Linked DNA regions of Drosophila melanogaster. The gene in region 1 interacts genetically with each later gene. Each region holds a gene or a part of one and is shown on either strand. Other genes may lie near its edges.

Region 1 (5,701 bases):
TGCGGTAGTCCTGCAGGTGCTTAGTGTCGTCGTTCTCGAACTTTGTGACCAGGCCAATGGCCACACCTGCCGCAGGTGCGCTCACTGGAACGCCGGCGTCCATAAGGGCCAAGGAGCCACCGCAAACGCTGGCCATGCTACTGCTCCCATTGGATTCCAGGACTTCAGAGGTGAGTCTTACGGTAAAGGGATAATCATTCGGCAGGGTGGGAAGCAACGATCTCTCCGCCAAGGCTCCGTGGCCCATTTCCCGGCGACCCACTGGACCAATCCGACCCACTTCACCCGTGGCATAGGGCGGGAACTCATAGTGCAGCATAAAGTTCTTGGCCTTCAGGCCACCGCTATCTAAAGCAGCCAACGAGTCAAGTTTCATTGCGCTTTCCTGCGAGTCCAAGCTAACCGTGCAGAAGACCTGCGTCTGACCGCGCTGGAATAGGGCGGATCCGTGGAGAGGCTTGTACATGTCCACCTGGCAGGAGATGTTCCTCAGCTGGTCGTAATCTCGTCCATCGCAACGCAGACCCCGCTCAAAGATCAGTTCGCGAAAAATGGTTCTACTGGTCTGGTTGAACTGCTCGGTAATAAGCGACGGTTCGGTATCCGGAAACGAACTCCACACCTTGTCAATAACGTTGGAGCGCACCTCGTTAACCGCATTGTCACGAGACATCTTGTCGTGCGTCGAATCCTGGAAGATCTCTCTCAGCCGCATTTCGCACATGCTACGAACGGCTTTCCCCAGTTCGGGATCTACTTCGGCAGCCACTTCCACTTCGCGCTTCTGTCGACCATAGGCCTTCTGCAGTCGCTCGATCTCGTGGATAATGAATTGGGCCTCACGAGTCCCTTGTTTGATAGCCTTTAGAAGGTCCTGCTGAAGAACCACATTCCCCTTGCCCTCCAACATAACGACGAGGTTTTGTTTGGTGGCGGAGACTACCAAATCCAGTTGCGAAGTCTGCAGCTCCCGGCGCGTGGGGTTGATCAGCACCTCGCCGTCGCAGAGGCCAACGCTTTGTAGGATTAAAAGAGTTATAAGCGGTTACCAGTTAGATTCGTTCGTGAGTACTCACCGCACAGCTCCAATGGGTCCATTCCAGGGAATGTCACTTAGAGATAGCGCCATGGAAGCGGCATTGATTGCAAGCACATCCGGACTGTGCACCGCGTCCATAGCCAACATGTTGCACACCAGCTGTGTCTCCGTGCGATAATCTTTGTGGAAGAGCGGGCGTAGCGAACGGTCGATAAGGCGGGCGGACAGGATCTCTTTTTCCGAGGGGCCCAGTTCGCGGCGCATAAAGTTCATGGGTATTCTGCCAGAGGCGGCGTTTTTCAGTCGGTAGTCAACCACCAGAGGCATGAATCCCTGGCCGGGATTTGGCTTCGCCTTGGCCACCGCGGTGACCATGACGGCGGTATCGCCCATTTGGCACACAGCTGTTCCATTCGCAAATCTCGCCAGGCGGCCGGAACTGAAGGTCATGTTACGTCTGCGGAGGATTCAAGACTTTGCTATTGGAACTCGGAGTGGAGGCCACGAACTCACCCATTGCTGAAGTTGACTTCCACGGAGGGCGCTTCTCCGTTGGAACTGCTTTGGATTCCTCTCCTTCCTCCTGGGCAGGACAAACTTAGGCATTTGAGGCGATAGTTGAGCAGCTTCAGCGATTTCCGTGTGAAAATCATGGCCATTACCTAAAAGTGCCGGGTGATTCCGGCTGAGGCGACAGTTCTGTACGCTGTATTTTCATGGTTATTTAAGAAATAATTAGTGGTCAAAATCTTACAATAAAAGCCCTGTACGTTTCTTGAGACTTGGAAGTTAGACTTAGAGCGCCTCAACTATTTGTATTGTTTAATTCAGTTATCTCAAAACTAGAATGCCCATTTAAAACAAAGTAGAGTGTGCAACATGTGTGCGTTCGGCGTTGCCACCTGGCAAGGGTAACAACAAATGAATTATATAGACAAACTATTACACGGATTATGTCTTAGGAATAATGTAGTAAATATTAATACAGCGTATTTTAAAAAAATTAATTTCGTTTCCAATAAGATATTTAGAAGGGTTCCCAGAAAATGAACTATTAGCTTGTGTCCCCGATAATGTCAAATTTGCAGTGCTGCCAACTCTTAGCAATGTTAGTTACAGCATGCAAGAAACAGCATTTAAATTCCTTTTCAGAAACGAAGAATTAAGACGGTATGTTCTGAAAGGTCCTAAAACGACCAACAGAATGACGCGACGATGTCCAAATCGCCAGATCTAAGTAATTCAAGCTAGCTAGAAAATAGCTGAGGCATCAGCACTACACAGTCCGCCAAAATTAGTCCGTCTTTTTACGCGTTTAGAGTTTTTTACCGCGAGTCGAAGACGTCTTTCACTAACTCAACGACGGTCTTACAGAAGACTCCAATATTTTTCGAGCAGGCAATTCGCGGATCCATCGTTAATTTTGGGCACTTGCAGAAAGCCCAGTTGCGAACGTCGTCGTGTGTCGTCTTAGAAAAGCCACTCCTCCAACCGGAAAACCGCAAGAGCGTCGAGCCCTTGTTTTGCGAGCCTTTTCGAAAAAAGCTGGGAATTTCACGCCGTATTTTTCGTATCTTTTCCGTCAACGAAACGCCGCGTGTGTCGTAGTGTGCGTGTGTGTGTTCTGTGTGCCCGCCCATCTGTGCATGTGTGAGAGCGCGCCTGTGTGTGTGAATTTTGGTGAGAGCCGCAACAACAACCGAAAAGAAAACCAAAATCGACAAATGCGGTCAAATTGAAAAGAAAAACAAAAAATCAAAGAGTATTCTTGCGCAAAGCCAAAAGGCAAAGTCAAAAAAGAGCGCAAAGCCAAAAAAACGCAGATTTCCCAACGAAAAGGCCGGAAAATTGCCCACTAGGCGTGTCGCTGCTTCTTCTTGTTCTTTCAAATTGTTTATGCTGCAATTGCAGTGGTGTGCGAAAGGAGTGGTAGAGAGAGAGAGAAGGAAAAGCGTCTTATCAACGCCCGCTTTCTTATCAGAACCCACACATTTGTTGCGAAAATTCCAACCAGCCGAAACTCACAGTGAAGCTTTAAATAGCACATCAAACAAACAGGTAAGTCTCATTAATCAGCTTGAAATCACCTTATTTTCTACTGCTCCTCGGTGGTCACAACTCACTGGCTGTTCCCCTCCTTTGCACTTAAGCACTTAACGGTAACTGTAAATTACACACACGTTGGCCTTGTCTCTCCTGGCGATTAATTGCATTAATGCCGCAGGACTCGCGCCATCCCTGTCACCCCACGCCAATCGATTAAAAAGTGAAAGCAATCGGGAAATGCTTATCAGTAGGTCCTCCTTCTTTGCTTTTTAAATGCATAAATACCCATGCACAGATGCACACATGCAAGCAATCAGCCCAACAATGCACTATATGAATATTTATAGCTCATTATTTATTGTCTCGCTGTTCCCGTCCATCATTTGACCCGCTAAAGAGGGCAGGTTGGTAAATAAATGAAAAGTTATCGAGATAATCGGTGGAATTGTTGGATCATTAATAATTTGTTTATTTTTTAGTTAACCTCTGACAATTTATCAATGACTTAGTAGACATAAGTCAGCTTGTTATTTTTGCATTTACCAAGATATCCGGAAGTAACATCTATTGCTCACACAAAAATATATTGGGCATTCACAATAGTGATGACTCACTGCCATGCGTGTTCACTGATTATTTTGACTTCTAAAATCATACATTTTATATTTACGTAAAGTTTTCAGAGCTGATATAAACATTAATTCAAGATATTTATTTATTAATCACTTGCACACTACTTCCAAAATACTGTACGTTTTATGCAAAATGTCGGAATAACATCAGAGATGTGATGCACAGGAAAATTCCCCATAATTCATGAAACCTATTTCCAAAATTAACAGAAAACTATTTGCGGTACTCGAACTCAAAATCTGTATTTTTATAGCACGAACATTGGAAAAGAACGCAAACCAATTAGTGAAACCATTTTGAAATCACCATAAATCAGCGTGATTGCCTGGCAATAAATTCCCGTTTCCATTTGCAGCTGACAAATGCGAGTCGTTAAAAATAGTTTTTCCCCAAAAGCGTAACTTTCCCCCGCTTTTCAAGGGCGACCCTCGCAATGTCCCGATGTACTTTCCTTATCGCTTCTGCATTTCGAGTTCTTTTTTCTGTGGTACGTCATCGGCAGCCGGGTGTCTCTGATTGTTTGAGAATCGCCTCGCCGGCTGCATAATTAAGACGAGCTGGACGTTTAGCTGATAAACGTTTCCACTTTTCATCGGCGGATGGGAGTCAATGTGCCATTCACAGAAGACCTCTACTCTGGTACACAGATGGTGATTGTTAAAGTCCAAGATCTCTGATGTGTGACCCCATGGGGTGCCCTTTTCAACTGTCAGGTCGCAACTATTGTTTCCATGTTTCGAGGGCTTGCGTCACAGTTTATCGACTCGAGTTGCGAGCTGCGAGCTGTGAGTCCCGAGAACCCGCAACCCATTCCGACAGGATGACGTAGGCAATTGGCAGAAACATGTGTATCCTGGGTATCCTGGGCCCCGTGCAGACAACAATAAACCATCAGCGCCAACCCCATGGGCAAATAAAACCCAATCGAATATTATTATCAATGAGGGCAGGACCCAAACAACGAACGCCAGTTCGAGCGCGAAGGAGGGTTGGCCACATGCTGCTCTTCCCTTGGCAGGATATCATTGCCAGCACTTGGACCCAGCCCACTGAACTTCCCAATTCCAATTCCAATCCCGACCACGCCCACATGCCATCATCGTCGCCTTCTGCGCTAATTTGGCGCGACTTTGACACTTGTTAGCCAATATGTTTTTGGCTCGTGTTAATGGCCCAACGGGAATTGATATTAATTGCGCCGCACGCCCCTCACGCCGCCCGAACTGGGCGTGGTCGTCGGTCAATATTGTTGGTCTCTAGAAGAAAAAAAAAAACAACAGAAAACGAAAAACACAAATGGCCCGAAAATCAGCTTAAATCAATTTTTTGTGGTCGCCGCCTTTTGTTCACTTGCTGGTTTTTGGTCCAAAATCGGCTTACCAACTTCGGTGCCTGTTTTTCTTGTGACTTTGGGCTTTACAAAGAGGCTCTAAGGTTCCCTTCTCGTTCAATCTAATTAATCCTGCCTTCCTTGATTGAGAATATGGGATTTGCCTTGCCCTTAAGAAAACCAGATTTCCTCACCCTTTGGCAGCCAATGAAAACTGAAAGCGCTCCCAATGTTTCCATTTTTCCAGGCCCTGTGTTTTCCTTTCATGTGCCCTAATAAAACTAAATTCAATTAGAACTTGCAGTTCGAGTTCCTTGTGCGTGTGGGAAAAGTTGGAGTGAAATGTGAGAAAAGTTTTGCGGAATATGTCGGAAAAGTGAAAGAGGGATGGGTAGGATCAGTGGCAATGGGCGGATGGCACATGGAGGGCTCATTAGTTGCCAAACGAAATCTCCGGAGGGCATGCAAATTTAATCGAATCACTTCGAGTGAAAAGCCACTTAATGATGGTTCCTTTCCTTTTCATTTCTAATAGATGAAAAGGCATCTGCCTAATGGGTTTTGAAAACAAGCAGCGTGAAAGGTTCCTTCCTTTAGGTCCTACTAATATGAACATAACTTCCCACGGCACTGGAATTGATTCCTTATGATTC
Region 2 (5,709 bases), on another chromosome or scaffold:
CATATGTATTGTATTTAGTACTTCCAGGTACGAACTTTTTCGGAACTTCTTACATCAGCATTAGCCGATTTCTTGGAATCCCCTTGAAAGCATTGTACAGAATGGGAATAGGATAGATTCCAGAAATTCCAGAACAAATAATCCCCAAGTTTTTCGTGTAAGTGGAGGTCGTATATTGCCATCGGTTTTTGGTTTTCGGCTTTTGGGCCCTCAGGCACGTACTGCCCTATGGATCGACCGTTTAATGCTGTTTGCCCCGATGCAGCTGAATCAATTTTACCACGGCTGCATAGCCATGGGCACAAGGGACTCAAGAGCCTCGAAAATAATTTCGTGATAGATTCGTTTTTTTTTTCGGTTGCTGATTTCATTCCACGTTCCCGGGGGGGTATCAACATAGGCATAAATATATGTATGTCCGGAAGACAATAGCTGTATAGATAATTTGAATCGGATAATTATTTTAGGAGTTATGGCTGAGTGACGGCTATCTGATAGTCGAGGCAATCGAAGCGAACTCTATCTATATAGTATTCATACATATGTATGTATACGTACCATCACAATACCCGTAATTTAATTTTCGTGCCGTCTGTAACACTTTCTATTGCTGATAATGACTTTTGGAGCATTTTGCGGGCGTTTTGGAACTTGCACAAAAAACATTTTGTAATTCATGTCTGCGCAAAAACAAATAAAAGAACGAGTCCACGGAAAAATTTACTAAATACACACATAAATATGGCCATTTTTCTCAGTGTGCATGTCAACAATTTCCCAGTCACTTGAGTGCTTGGCCACCCTTCCAGCTCTTTATTTTTTGGACAGTCGGTTAAATGCAATTAACTTGGTTACACTTTCATGCGGGAATAAAATTTTGGTACCGAAATTCGTTCATGGTTTGCTTTTAGTTTTCCATTTTAAGCCGCAATATATTTTGCGTCCAGCGGAAGTGATCACTTTGCCACATTGGCGCTGATAGTCACCGCGTGACTTCATCGGCATTATCATCATCATGTCCATTACCAGCGAACTCATGGAACTCACCTCTGTAAACATAATCGTGAACTCACTTGTTTGGCAAATGTTTGAGAGCGAACCCCGATAAGACACCTAATGCGCCTCGAATTGGTGTAGTTCGATTGTTTTGGTTGCATGATGACACTAAGGTCAGTTGTCATCCATTGTGGTCACGTCGTGAAATTGGTTTTTGCAATAACTAGTAAGGCGCTTGACCAGATTGAGAAATGTGCACGTGTCTATTGTTGTTCAAGAAGTGATTAAAAATGCTTTTAATATTTATCAGTTCGCTTTTAGGGAAACTATACCTACTCGTCAGTCAATGGCATGAGCCCAAACATATTCATGCTGAATCCATTTGGACGCGTAATAGCTACTTCGAAAAGCATTAGACTAAATACCTCCCGATTTGGTCATTTAAGATCTCAAGAGCCAGCTCTGTATCTGCAGAATGGCTAGATTTCCCACATCCGCAGAGTCAGAAGGTCAGCATCGGGCGTGAGACCGGAAAAACCGCTAGGATAAGCCCACGAAAACGAGACATCCTGATACCCAGGAAATAATGAAGCAGGATAATAAGGAGTACCAGAAACGAGATACTGTGGGTTTCGAATCTGTTATCCAAATTTTCTGGGCTGTATACATTTCGCTGGCTTCCTTTCAATTTAATTTGCATTAAGAAACAAGTTTCGCAGCGCAAAGTAATAATGGGTTATTCGATGGGCATTATAAAACACACATAAACGTTAAATAAAAATACATACAATCCACTTACTTTTGCTGTTTTATATCCCAAAACAAAGATGCCGAAGAAGGTGCGCTGCTTTTGCTTTTAGTTGCTTCTTCTTTGTCTTTTCCCCACTTTTGTTTTTCTTTGATTGTGGGTTAATATCAAGTTGTTGTAAAAATAAATTAGCATACAAATAAATAATAAACACCACAAATTGGCTCGTTTTGAATTTCGATTTGATGGCGGTTGAGCTTAATTTTTTGTTTGGTTTATTAAGAATTTTATATGTATGTGTTGATTGGCTTGCTGGTAAGAGCCAGTTCAAACTTGTAAGATACTAAATTTTTTTCAGTTGCTTAAAGTTTTCCCGTCGCTGGCTGCCTTTCATTTTTCGCTGCAGTTGTTAGGCTCATTAGGACAACACGGTTTTGTATTCGATTTTGTTGATTTATCTATTTTATTTCTCCAACTGTATCACATGTATTATCATATAATTCACAAAGACTTTTGCGCACACGAAAAAAAAACACACTACAACAAATCGACTTCAAAAGGTATCAATGGTAACATCCTGTTTGGGAAAAACGAAAGAGAATTATTTTGTATGCAACATTGAGTGCAATTCAAAAATAATGCCTACATGTGCACCGAAAATAGCTTAAGATTGTGAAATATTGTAGATATTTAATATATATCATTGTGAAATAACGTTAACTAAATATTTATAACTCAAAGCTAAGCTTCAAATTATGGTTGGTACTAGTATTTTAAAGTTGATCTCGGGTTTTTCAGTAGGCGAATCTATATGTACGGCGCACATATATTTTTAAGATTATAAATTATCGGACGCCTGTTGCTGTAAAGACAACAACAAGTACAACGACAACTGTTTCACAATGTAGTATAAACACAAAAGCGTAGTATATTTATACATGCCTCGTAGTATGTATTTTATTTTATTCTACTTTATTTTCACTTCGTTCGTTCTCTCTTTCCTGTTTCCTTTTACAGATAAGCATTCGAATGTTTTTTTGTTTTGTTTTAGTTTAGGTTCTTGTTCAAATTCAAATTAAAATCGGGTCAAATTTAGATAAAATAAAAGCACACGAAGAAACGTTTTTAAGGGACACAATCAGAAGATATTTATGTATATTACAAATTTATATTCCCATGTTACTATTTGCTTTTAAGTTATATGCGCCACGTTTTGACCGATTGCACATGTCTCTTAAATATCGAATTTATGTTACAAATTCAATCGAAATGATAGTGTTACTTTACTTTTTTCATTTGCTACTATTGTTGGTGATTTTTATCCGCTTTCTTCCCCCCTCATTTCTTTTAAGTTTTTTTTTTTGAAGAGACTGTAGCGGGCGGACAAGAGAACACGCACCGTTACCGATCACGTTCACAGTTGTTTTTTGAATGAGAAGCGGCTTCGAAACGTGTCGTCGCAGGCGTCGACGTCGGCGCCGCAGTCGCTGCGACAGACAGAGAGTGGTCAGATATAAATATACATGTACTGTATATATGTATATGTACGCGCGTTCGACAATGATCTTAGCCGAGAGAAAAGAGCCGATGCGCGGCATTAGGGAACTCTTTTCAAAGAGCGCGCTGAAGCCGCGCTCAGTTTTCATTGCTCTTAAGTTGCAACTGCACAAAGAAATCATTTTGCTGTTTTGATCGTGCATTGTTTTGAGTATGTATGTCATTAATTTAAAACAAGAGAGAACGCTATAGTCGAGTTCCCCGACTATCAGATACCCGTTATTCAGCAAGTCCAAGTGGGACGAGACTTTTCAACATTTTTCACGAACATTAGTAGAAATTGGTGGGAAAAAATTAATTTTAATTCTCTAAGGTCTGGGCAGGATATATTGGGCGGTTTAAGATAGCATATCTTCGGCATATCTATAAATTGGAAAAACAACTGGTTTAATACAAAAAAATTAAATCATTTCTCAAAAGTGTGGGAGTGTCAGTTTTGGTGCATTAGAGTGGGAATTTTTATCATATCGATAAAAATTAACAAGAGTCATAGAAATATGGAAAACTATCAAAACATTATGCAAAGGTGTGAGCGTGGCAGTTTTGGGAGGTTTGTGGGCGTGGCATCATGGGGAACAAACTTTCGCTGCGTCTAATGTCTCTAGAATCTAGCTTTTATATTTTCTGATATCTCGACGTTCATACGGACGGACAGACAGACGGACATGACCAGTTCGACTGGTCCTGATTGATCCTGATCACGATACATATATACACATGTACATATACAAGTACATGTACATATACATATACATATATGGTTGAAAACGCTTCCTTCTCCCTGTTACATTCTTTTTAACGAATCTAGTATACCCTTTTACTCTTCTCGACAATTCTCTTTTCTTTTTTGTTTTTCCCATACATGATTAACATTTTCTTCTGTTATGTTCTCTTGTTCTCAATTAGGGAGATGCTCTCTTTTGGCCGCCTGCAAAGGATGATTAATGATGTTCTCTGCTTTTAATTTTTTCTGAATGCTGCTAGTTGTTCAATTTAAAAAGGCAGTACGGCTCTTCCTGGTAATTTTCCGTTGGCTGTTTGTTTCTATTTACATATGTACTATGTATGTATGTATGTACCTTATTAAATAAAATTTTTATTTTCAATTTTGTCCGAGTTCGGTAGACCCCTACAGACACTACTAACATTCGGAAATATGTAAGGCTAACTGGAGTGGCCGGCTTAATAAAAATATCTCGGAAAAGCTGGAAAGTCGGAGATGGATTTCCTCGAAACCTAATTGAAGTTGATAGCAGTCATGGTTTTGTTCCCCGTCATCATCATTGGGCACTGAATCGCAAATCGCACTTCTTGGTAATTTTAGCCGCCACTTGAGCCTGTGCCGGTGTTTAGGCCAACATAATGGCCAATTAAGGCCACTTTGTCGTTTACAGCGTTTCAATTTCGATTTGATTAAGGTGAATTCCCTTTATTTTTTATGCAGTGATTCCGGCTAAAATTCATGAATAAAAGCAATTTTATGTAGATGATATAGATCATTACTTTAAAAAATAAATTTACAGAGTTAGCTTAGGGAACTAAAAATGACCACAACTAAACTAAGGGTATTTTGCCAAGTGTACGAATTGGGATCATCCCCATTTCCCTATTCTCTCATTCTTCGCCGTCTTCCCTTCGTATGGACTTATCGATGCGATGGTCAAGTGTGCGGGGCTCGTCTTCGGTCATTCGCCCAAAAACTAAAAATCGAAGAAACAAAAGTTAAACAAATAAGAAAAAATACCGAAATGTGTTTTCGTACTTTTCCTTCTTCTTGCGCAGATGCTGCGTTGTTGTGAAGCAAAAGTGATTTAAGTGAAATCAATTAAAAAATTTCGTTTTCTCTCGATTGTTTGCCTTCGCTGCTGCTTCTTCCCTTCCTTTTTCAGACCCCACCCCCTTTCGCTGACCTTTTCGAGTGGCATTTGAATTTTCAATGAAAATTAATTTCTTTCTACATTTTTCCCGTCCAGCGTATTATGTCCCCTCCCCACTATGCTAATTATTTTCACTTTTTTAATGTTCTAGTTTTCACTTTCGAACAAATTTGTGTCTCTGTGGAAAAAACCCTAATATTAATTAAGAGGCGAAAACTAAAACAAACGTTGTCAAACGTTTTGCGTGGAAGTCTAAATACGAAAAAATGTATGTATGTACATACGAGCCAAGAACATGGACAGACGAAGTCGTTGGCACGGGCAACAGATTTGGTATTCGAAAAAGTTATAACTGAATTGGAAAGAGTGACGCTAAGTAAATTGAAGCTTAAAACGCGCAATTGGATGTCCTTGTCACCACAGTAAGACCTTACCACCAGTATTCCTCGCCAAAAAGTCATGATGTGTGGTTAGTGAACATCCGCAGTTCTTATCGTATCGTATTTTCTCTTATTGGAATAAAGCAACAGA
Region 3 (7,579 bases), on another chromosome or scaffold:
TAAAAGTATTTAAACACTTTTAGTGATATTAATTTTTGTGTACTTACTGACTAGAGCCACCCAGGGGGCGTTTGTGGGATTCGTGCTTTGCAGTGATTCCTTGCTAAGGGAACTGTTCTCGAGGTGCTTGAAAATGTAGTCGGGATCCTCATTAAAATAGTACGCTATGCCACGCAGGAAATTAGCGTTGGTCTCGTCCAAAGAGCTGATCTTCTTGTTCTTTGAACTCTTAAAGAACCTGAAAAAGCGATCCTTTTCGGTAGCCAAGCGCTTCTCTAGAGCCCGGGGATCGATGGACATAAGCAGCTCAAAGTGCTGGTACAGCACAGCCTTGTCAAAAATATATGGCCAATTGTCCTTAATGGCCGTTATATCTGGGATCTTTTCGCTGTTATTAAAAAAGGAGCGCTGCAACGGAAAGCACTCTTTCATATATTCGATTATGACGGACTGTTCCAGTGGGGAACTGCCTCGGTAGCTGGAGATTAGTAACTCCTTTTTGTGCTCCAGATCCCTGTTAAGAGCCAGCGATTTTGCATCACCATTGGAAGCACCACCTCCGAATTTTCGTTTTTTATTAGGGATGTGGATCTCAAAGGTTCCCGAGCTGCCGCGTTTCTGGGGTTTGTTTAGGGCATTGTTACGGTTGATCATCTTGGATATGAGCGATTGCGGAGTGGTGGCTATAAACTGTCCCTCGCGGTCTTTTTCGAGTAAGGAGTCGGGGTACTTTTCAGCCGCCTGTTGGGCGACCTGCCGGAAAATCCGTATGGGAATGTGGGCGGATATTTCACGGAGAGCCTCCACCAAAACATTCGCAAGTGTATTCAACCGCTTGCCCAAACTCCCCTTTCCCTTTAGTAGTTTCATTATGTCCCCAGGCACCTTGCTCCAGGGTATCGAGAACTCCTTGAATAGAGCAGAACTCTTTGCACTTGATGGCGTTACGCTGGACAGTGACATGGTTTCGTCATTAGAGACCGTCGAATCGTTCGGGTTCGACACAATACTGTTGTTGGCATAGAAGCTGGGATCCACCGAGCTGCCGGCGCGTTCGGATCGGTTGAGGGGCGATGGCGGAGGAAGCACCACATACTCCTCCGACTCGGCGAGGAGCATCAACAGAATCTTCTCCTTGGCAGCGAACAAGAGCACGTCGTCCTCGCAGATCTCGCAGCCGTTGCTCTCCAGGACAATTGTGTTGCCGCACAGGCCGTATTTGTGAGCTACCGAATACAAATATATTATTGATATAAATTAAATAAAATATGTACAATTATTTAATTTCTATCCTAGATAAATATATCACCCATTGATCAAATTTATATTTTTAAATGCAGAAATGCTCTAAGCTTAAACCCAATAGATTCTTATTAAAGACTGTCTACTGGTTAATAACTTCCAACTGGGCAACGTTCATTCGGAATACTGGATGAATAGATACCCAATTCGTCGGACGTTCCTTACCTTTGTCGATTACATCCTTTCGAGTGGGCAACGACATGAAGGTCTTCTTGATCTTGCGATCGGCGCTGCATATGGTAATCAATACTTTGTCAGCCAGCTCGGTCTTCGGCTTGCCCTCGTCGTCGTCCTTCTGGCTAGCATCAGTGGAATGTGTCGGCTCTACGGCTAAAAGGTAAACGTTAACCAGGAAACTAGACTAGCTTCGAGCAAGTTTGCTAACCGGGGGCTTTCTCACCGCAGCTCTCTGGCTTTTTCGCTCCTCCTGTTTGTACACCATTTTCGATTGTTGTTGCCTTTGCGAGTGCGACCGGCGCTTGGTTTGCATTTTGATTCGGACTGATCGGCGCCTGCTGGGTGCTATGATCGCCGCCGGAACTGGCGGGCGGTGCGGGGGCAACGTCCATGGCTTCTATTTGCGTTTGCGCGACTCCAACCAAGCCCTGTTATCCGTGTTTTTGGACCGTGCCGTGAAATAATATTGCAGAATAGGGATGTAAAAACTACATCGATGCTTGGTGCGCTACTATCGCGGTGTTATCGATACTCCGCACCCAGTGTGACCGTCGAGCGCATGGCATAAATAAATAAGCCAGCGGCCAGCATTGCCATATAGTCAAAATGTTGCGGGGAACACCTTTTTCGTTTGCTGATGCATTTCTACATATGATCATATTTCTTATTTTATGTTGATGTTATCTTATGTTACGATCGAACAAAATAAATCCGATTTGTTTGCATATCATTCGACTTGTTGCAGCTATGACCGATAATAACCGATGCCGACCGATAACATGCAAATCTCGCTGACCGATAACATGGGTATATTTAAACTGGCCCTGAATGGTCGCACATTTGTTGCTTCAGCTTCACGTTGAGTCGCGTTTATTTTTGTTTTCCTCCTTGGTTCTTGTTTTTTTTTTCTCTTTTTTAAAAACACTGCAATCCTTCAAAGGGAACAATTAAACCAGGATATCCCGAGTCCAACGAAAGCGCCTTCACGATGCACTGACGAACCGCTGAGCAAGAAACGGGCATTCAGCCCATTAAAATTCACACAAGGCAGCTATTTAATGATTTTTATAAGCGGATGCAGTACTTAAACTTTCCGCGCATGCCAAACATTATGTGAGTGACTCGCCTCTGGCAAATGGTGTGGGCAATTAAAATAACTTGGTTATTTACAAACCGCAGGATGTTCCTGGAGGTTGCGATCTTATGCCTGTGGGTGGTCGCAGACGCATCGGCCAGTTCGGCCAAGTTCGGCAGCACAACGCCCGCAAGTGCGCAGCAGTCGGATGTGGAACTGGAGCCCATCAATGGGACTCTCAATTACCGACTGTACGCCAAGAAGGGCAGGGACGACAAACCCTGGTTTGATGGCCTAGACAGCAGGCACATCCAGTGTGTCCGACGTGCCCGTTGCTACCCCACCTCGAACGCAACCAACACCTGTTTCGGCTCAAAATTGCCCTATGAGCTGAGCAGCCTAGATCTCACCGACTTCCACACCGAAAAGGAGCTGAACGATAAGCTGAACGACTACTATGCCCTGAAGCACGTGCCCAAATGTTGGGCAGCTATACAGGTGAGGAATCTTAATAACATCTAATGTACCTAATGATTTCAAAAGGTGGGGCCGAGTCTGTATGAAAATACAGATTGTCGCATTATTTTCTGATAAGGAGGTGCATTAGAAACAAGTTAAGCGCACAACTGTGATTACTTAATTACGCTTTGTGTTCAAGCAGTGAAAGTAATATGTGAATTGCTTTATCTTGGGAAGATTCAGATATATATACATATTCAGTTGTGGCTCAAGGTTTTCTGTAGATATTATAGTATTTCAAATCCATTTCTTCAATATTCCGGATTAGCTCAACACACCCATTTTTACATGTTTATAGCCCTTTTTGTGCGCCGTCTTTAAGCCGAAGTGTGAAAAAATCAACGGCGAGGACATGGTCTACCTGCCATCTTACGAGATGTGCCGAATTACCATGGAACCCTGTCGCATTTTGTACAACACGACGTTTTTCCCAAAATTCCTTCGCTGCAACGAAACACTCTTTCCGACGAAATGCACAAACGGAGCACGAGGAATGAAATTCAACGGAACTGGCCAGTGTTTAAGTCCTTTGGTTCCGACAGATACGTCAGCCAGCTATTATCCTGGCATCGAGGGCTGCGGCGTGCGATGCAAGGATCCACTCTATACCGATGATGAGCATCGGCAGATCCACAAACTGATCGGATGGGCTGGCAGCATATGTCTTCTGTCTAACCTTTTCGTGGTGTCCACCTTCTTCATCGACTGGAAGAATGCCAACAAGTATCCGGCAGTAATTGTGTTCTACATAAATCTTTGCTTTCTAATTGCTTGCGTCGGGTAAGTTTTGAGCACTATTTTGCATTTGTATTCTTAATCAACCACGTATTTACTATGCAGCTGGTTGCTTCAGTTTACTTCTGGCTCGCGAGAGGACATAGTATGTCGTAAGGATGGAACACTTCGCCACTCAGAGCCTACAGCCGGTGAAAATCTTTCTTGCATAGTGATCTTTGTGCTGGTCTATTATTTTCTCACCGCTGGAATGGTTTGGTTTGTGTTCCTCACCTACGCCTGGCATTGGAGGGCCATGGGCCACGTCCAAGATCGGATAGATAAGAAAGGTTCCTACTTTCACCTCGTGGCGTGGTCACTACCCCTTGTGCTTACCATTACCACGATGGCTTTCAGTGAGGTGGATGGAAATAGTATTGTGGGCATCTGCTTCGTAGGCTATATCAATCATTCTATGAGGGCAGGACTACTTCTTGGTCCGCTCTGCGGGGTCATCCTCATTGGTGGATACTTCATCACCCGCGGCATGGTGATGCTTTTTGGACTGAAACACTTCGCTAATGACATTAAATCAACTTCGGCGAGCAACAAAATCCATTTGATCATCATGCGCATGGGAGTCTGTGCTCTGCTCACTTTAGTTTTCATACTAGTGGCCATTGCGTGCCACGTTACGGAGTTTAGGCATGCAGACGAATGGGCCCAGAGCTTCAGACAGTTTATAATGTAAGTGTAAATACTCGTTTATAACTTTTTCCATACGCCTCAACTAGATAATTCTTTTGTTTAGCTGCAAAATTTCTTCAGTTTTTGAAGAAAAGAGTTCCTGTCGAATTGAAAACCGACCTAGTGTTGGCGTTCTTCAATTGCATTTGCTGTGTCTATTTAGCTCTGGAATCGTAATGTCCACCTGGTGCTGGACACCTTCTTCAATTGAGACTTGGAAGCGTTATATAAGGAAGTATGTTTTACCATCCTACCAAAAGTTGCATTAAAGTTATCTGTACTATCGATTTTATAACCTTTGCAGAAAGTGTGGCAAAGAGGTGGTCGAAGAAGTGAAAATGCCGAAGCACAAGGTCATTGCCCAGACATGGGCCAAGCGCAAGGATTTCGAGGACAAGGGCAGGCTCTCCATAACGCTCTACAACACCCACACAGATCCCGTGGGGCTCAACTTCGATGTGAACGATCTGAACTCTTCTGAGACGAATGACATCTCATCAACTTGGGCTGCATACCTCCCGCAGTGCGTAAAACGTCGCATGGCTTTGACGGGAGCAGCGACAGGTAACTCGTCAAGCCATGGACCGCGAAAAAATTCATTGGATTCCGAGATAAGTGTGAGTGTTCGACATGTTTCCGTTGAATCCCGCAGAAATTCGGTGGACTCGCAGGTATCAGTGAAAATAGCTGAAATGAAGACCAAAGTGGCGTCCAGATCAAGGGGAAAACACGGAGGCTCTTCCAGCAACAGAAGAACCCAAAGGAGAAGGGATTATATAGCAGCTGCCACTGGAAAAAGCAGTAGGAGAAGGGAAAGCAGTACTTCAGTGGAGTCGCAGGTCATCGCGCTCAAGAAAACGACCTATCCCAATGCTAGTCACAAAGTGGGCGTGTTTGCTCATCACAGCTCCAAGAAACAACACAATTACACCAGCTCCATGAAGCGAAGGACTGCTAATGCCGGATTGGATCCCTCTATTCTTAATGAATTCCTGCAGAAAAATGGCGATTTTATATTCCCATTCCTCCAAAATCAAGATATGAGCTCTAGTTCGGAGGAGGATAATTCCAGAGCATCCCAAAAGATTCAGGATCTTAACGTGGTTGTAAAGCAGCAGGAAATAAGTGAGGATGATCACGACGGAATAAAGATTGAAGAACTGCCAAATAGCAAACAGGTGGCATTGGAGAACTTTCTTAAAAACATAAAAAAATCTAATGAATCCAATTCTAACCGACATTCCCGAAATTCCGCAAGAAGTCAGTCAAAAAAGTCCCAAAAGAGACATCTCAAGAACCCTGCTGCTGATCTAGATTTCAGGAAGGACTGTGTAAAGTATCGGTCTAATGACTCACTTAGCTGCTCCTCTGAAGAGCTGGATGTGGCTTTGGACGTAGGAAGCCTTCTTAACAGCTCTTTTTCTGGAATATCCATGGGCAAACCACATAGTAGAAACAGCAAAACCAGCTGCGATGTGGGCATACAGGCTAATCCTTTCGAGCTAGTTCCCAGTTACGGAGAAGACGAACTGCAGCAGGCCATGCGACTCCTAAACGCAGCCAGCAGACAAAGAACTGAAGCAGCCAATGAGGATTTCGGAGGAACGGAGCTGCAGGGCTTGTTGGGTCATTCCCATCGGCATCAAAGGGAGCCCACGTTTATGAGCGAGTCGGACAAACTCAAAATGTTATTGCTGCCTTCAAAATAGCAAGACTAAATAAGCAATTGATGCATTTACTTAAGGTTCAAAAACTCTTACAATATTGTAGTTTTTGTTCTAAGAAATCAAATTGTTAGCGCTGAAAATAATCGTACAATCTTATCTATTTTACGAAATCGTAATATTGTTATGTTCACTGTTCAACGATTTATAAGAATATATCGCTTCACTAGAATTGGAAACCCAAATGATATTTAAAACAAACAAATACGAAATTGTAGTACACAAGCCAGAGCAGTTTACATGCGATGAACATTTAGATTCTTCTTAATCGATTACTGGAACAGACTGAGCGAAACTAGAACTACGAATTACGAATACTCATAGTCATTAGGCTGCAACTTTATTTTACAGATTCATCACCCCATCTAGCTTGTAAGCATTCGAATCTCTGTGTACGTTTGTGAATGACTGTTTCCTTAATCCTGGTACTCACGCCAAAGTAAATGCCAAAGAGGATAATAATTTATTTTCATTATTTTTCTTTGCCGTGGGTACAGGACTTTAGATTGTAGATTATAGATTTAAGTACGATATAAATAAGCCTCTTGGGCACACAAATCGTACCTCAGAAAGTGCCTTCAAGTTTACAAAATTATACATAATAATTTGTGTAACTAATAAACGATTTTAAATCCTCGAGTCCTAGCCTTGCTTTAATTTCTGTTGATTTAGGAGCTTAAACTCCGGACCCCAAACGACGTTGTTGGCGAACTCCCCGAGCAGATAGCAAACCAGGTTGAACCCCACAAGTAGTGCCAAGAACACGTAGCGCAGGTATGCGGGCAGCACTTCCAGAATGGGATACACCCACTCGCCACTGAAGTAGCGAACAATGTGCAGCCAGATGATGTAAAGCAGGATGAAGGAGACGTTGCCCGTGATGCCTGCCAATCGACTCGGATAGCGGCGGAAGCAGGTAAACAGGTCCATAATGGCCAAAAGGGCCACATTCGTGTGTACCACGTGATTCAACCAGCTGCAAATATTGAGAAACACAGGTAAATCAAAACTCGCCTCGCCTGATGAACAGAAAGTTTAGACAGGCTCGAAACAAAAGAGACTCCAGCAGACTAACATTGTGCATTGTACGCAAGTTAAACCGGCGGAAAAACATAAACACTTGCCTGGGGAAAATCGCATCCAGCGCTGAGGGAAAGATGAGCTCACGGTCCCACACGTAGATGACCCAAAACGAGAGGCAGACATTGTGGGCGACAGGAAAGGCAAAGGCGGCGAACACATAGTCCCTCACCGATCGCAACATGGATTTTGAATCCCCGGAGACATTGTTATCGCCGAAGAGATCGTTCAGCAGAGCCAA

Evidence for each region.
Region 2: of Gprk2 (region 1) and fog, changing one suppresses a phenotype caused by changing the other (phenotypic suppression), as found in Drosophila melanogaster (2 studies listed by BioGRID).
Region 3: of Gprk2 (region 1) and smo, changing one enhances a phenotype caused by changing the other (phenotypic enhancement), as found in Drosophila melanogaster (3 studies listed by BioGRID).

The regions. Positions count from the first base shown.
Region 1 is NT_033777.3:31,402,860-31,408,560, forward strand, and holds the start of Gprk2 (G protein-coupled receptor kinase 2), read left to right. Parts: upstream 1-2,385; 5' UTR 2,386-3,097; intron 3,098-5,701. Other genes in the region: PNPase (polynucleotide phosphorylase), read right to left, coding at 1-1,016, 1,077-1,496, 1,553-1,698. UniProt on the Drosophila melanogaster protein: Specifically phosphorylates the activated forms of G protein-coupled receptors. Required during oogenesis and embryogenesis; component of a signaling pathway that functions during egg chamber maturation.
Region 2 is NC_004354.4:22,852,012-22,857,720, forward strand, and holds the start of fog (folded gastrulation), read right to left. Parts: upstream 3,184-5,709; 5' UTR 3,032-3,183; exon of another isoform or gene 1,796-3,031; intron 1-1,795. UniProt on the Drosophila melanogaster protein: Coordinates cell shape changes during formation of the ventral furrow and invagination of the posterior midgut primordium, by inducing apical constriction of cells in spatially and temporally defined manners.
Region 3 is NT_033779.5:275,272-282,850, forward strand, and holds smo (smoothened), read left to right. Parts: upstream 1-2,310; 5' UTR 2,311-2,554; coding exon 2,555-2,592; exon of another isoform or gene 2,593-2,658; coding exon 2,659-3,052; intron 3,053-3,371; coding exon 3,372-3,853; intron 3,854-3,913; coding exon 3,914-4,534; intron 4,535-4,598; coding exon 4,599-4,769; intron 4,770-4,838; coding exon 4,839-6,243; 3' UTR 6,244-6,896; downstream 6,897-7,579. Other genes in the region: CG17078 (uncharacterized protein), read right to left, coding at 48-1,226, 1,468-1,632, 1,688-1,871; CG11601 (uncharacterized protein), read right to left, coding at 6,901-7,234, 7,383-7,579. UniProt on the Drosophila melanogaster protein: Segment polarity protein required for correct patterning of every segment. G protein-coupled receptor which associates with the patched protein (ptc) to transduce the hedgehog (hh) signal through the activation of an inhibitory G-protein.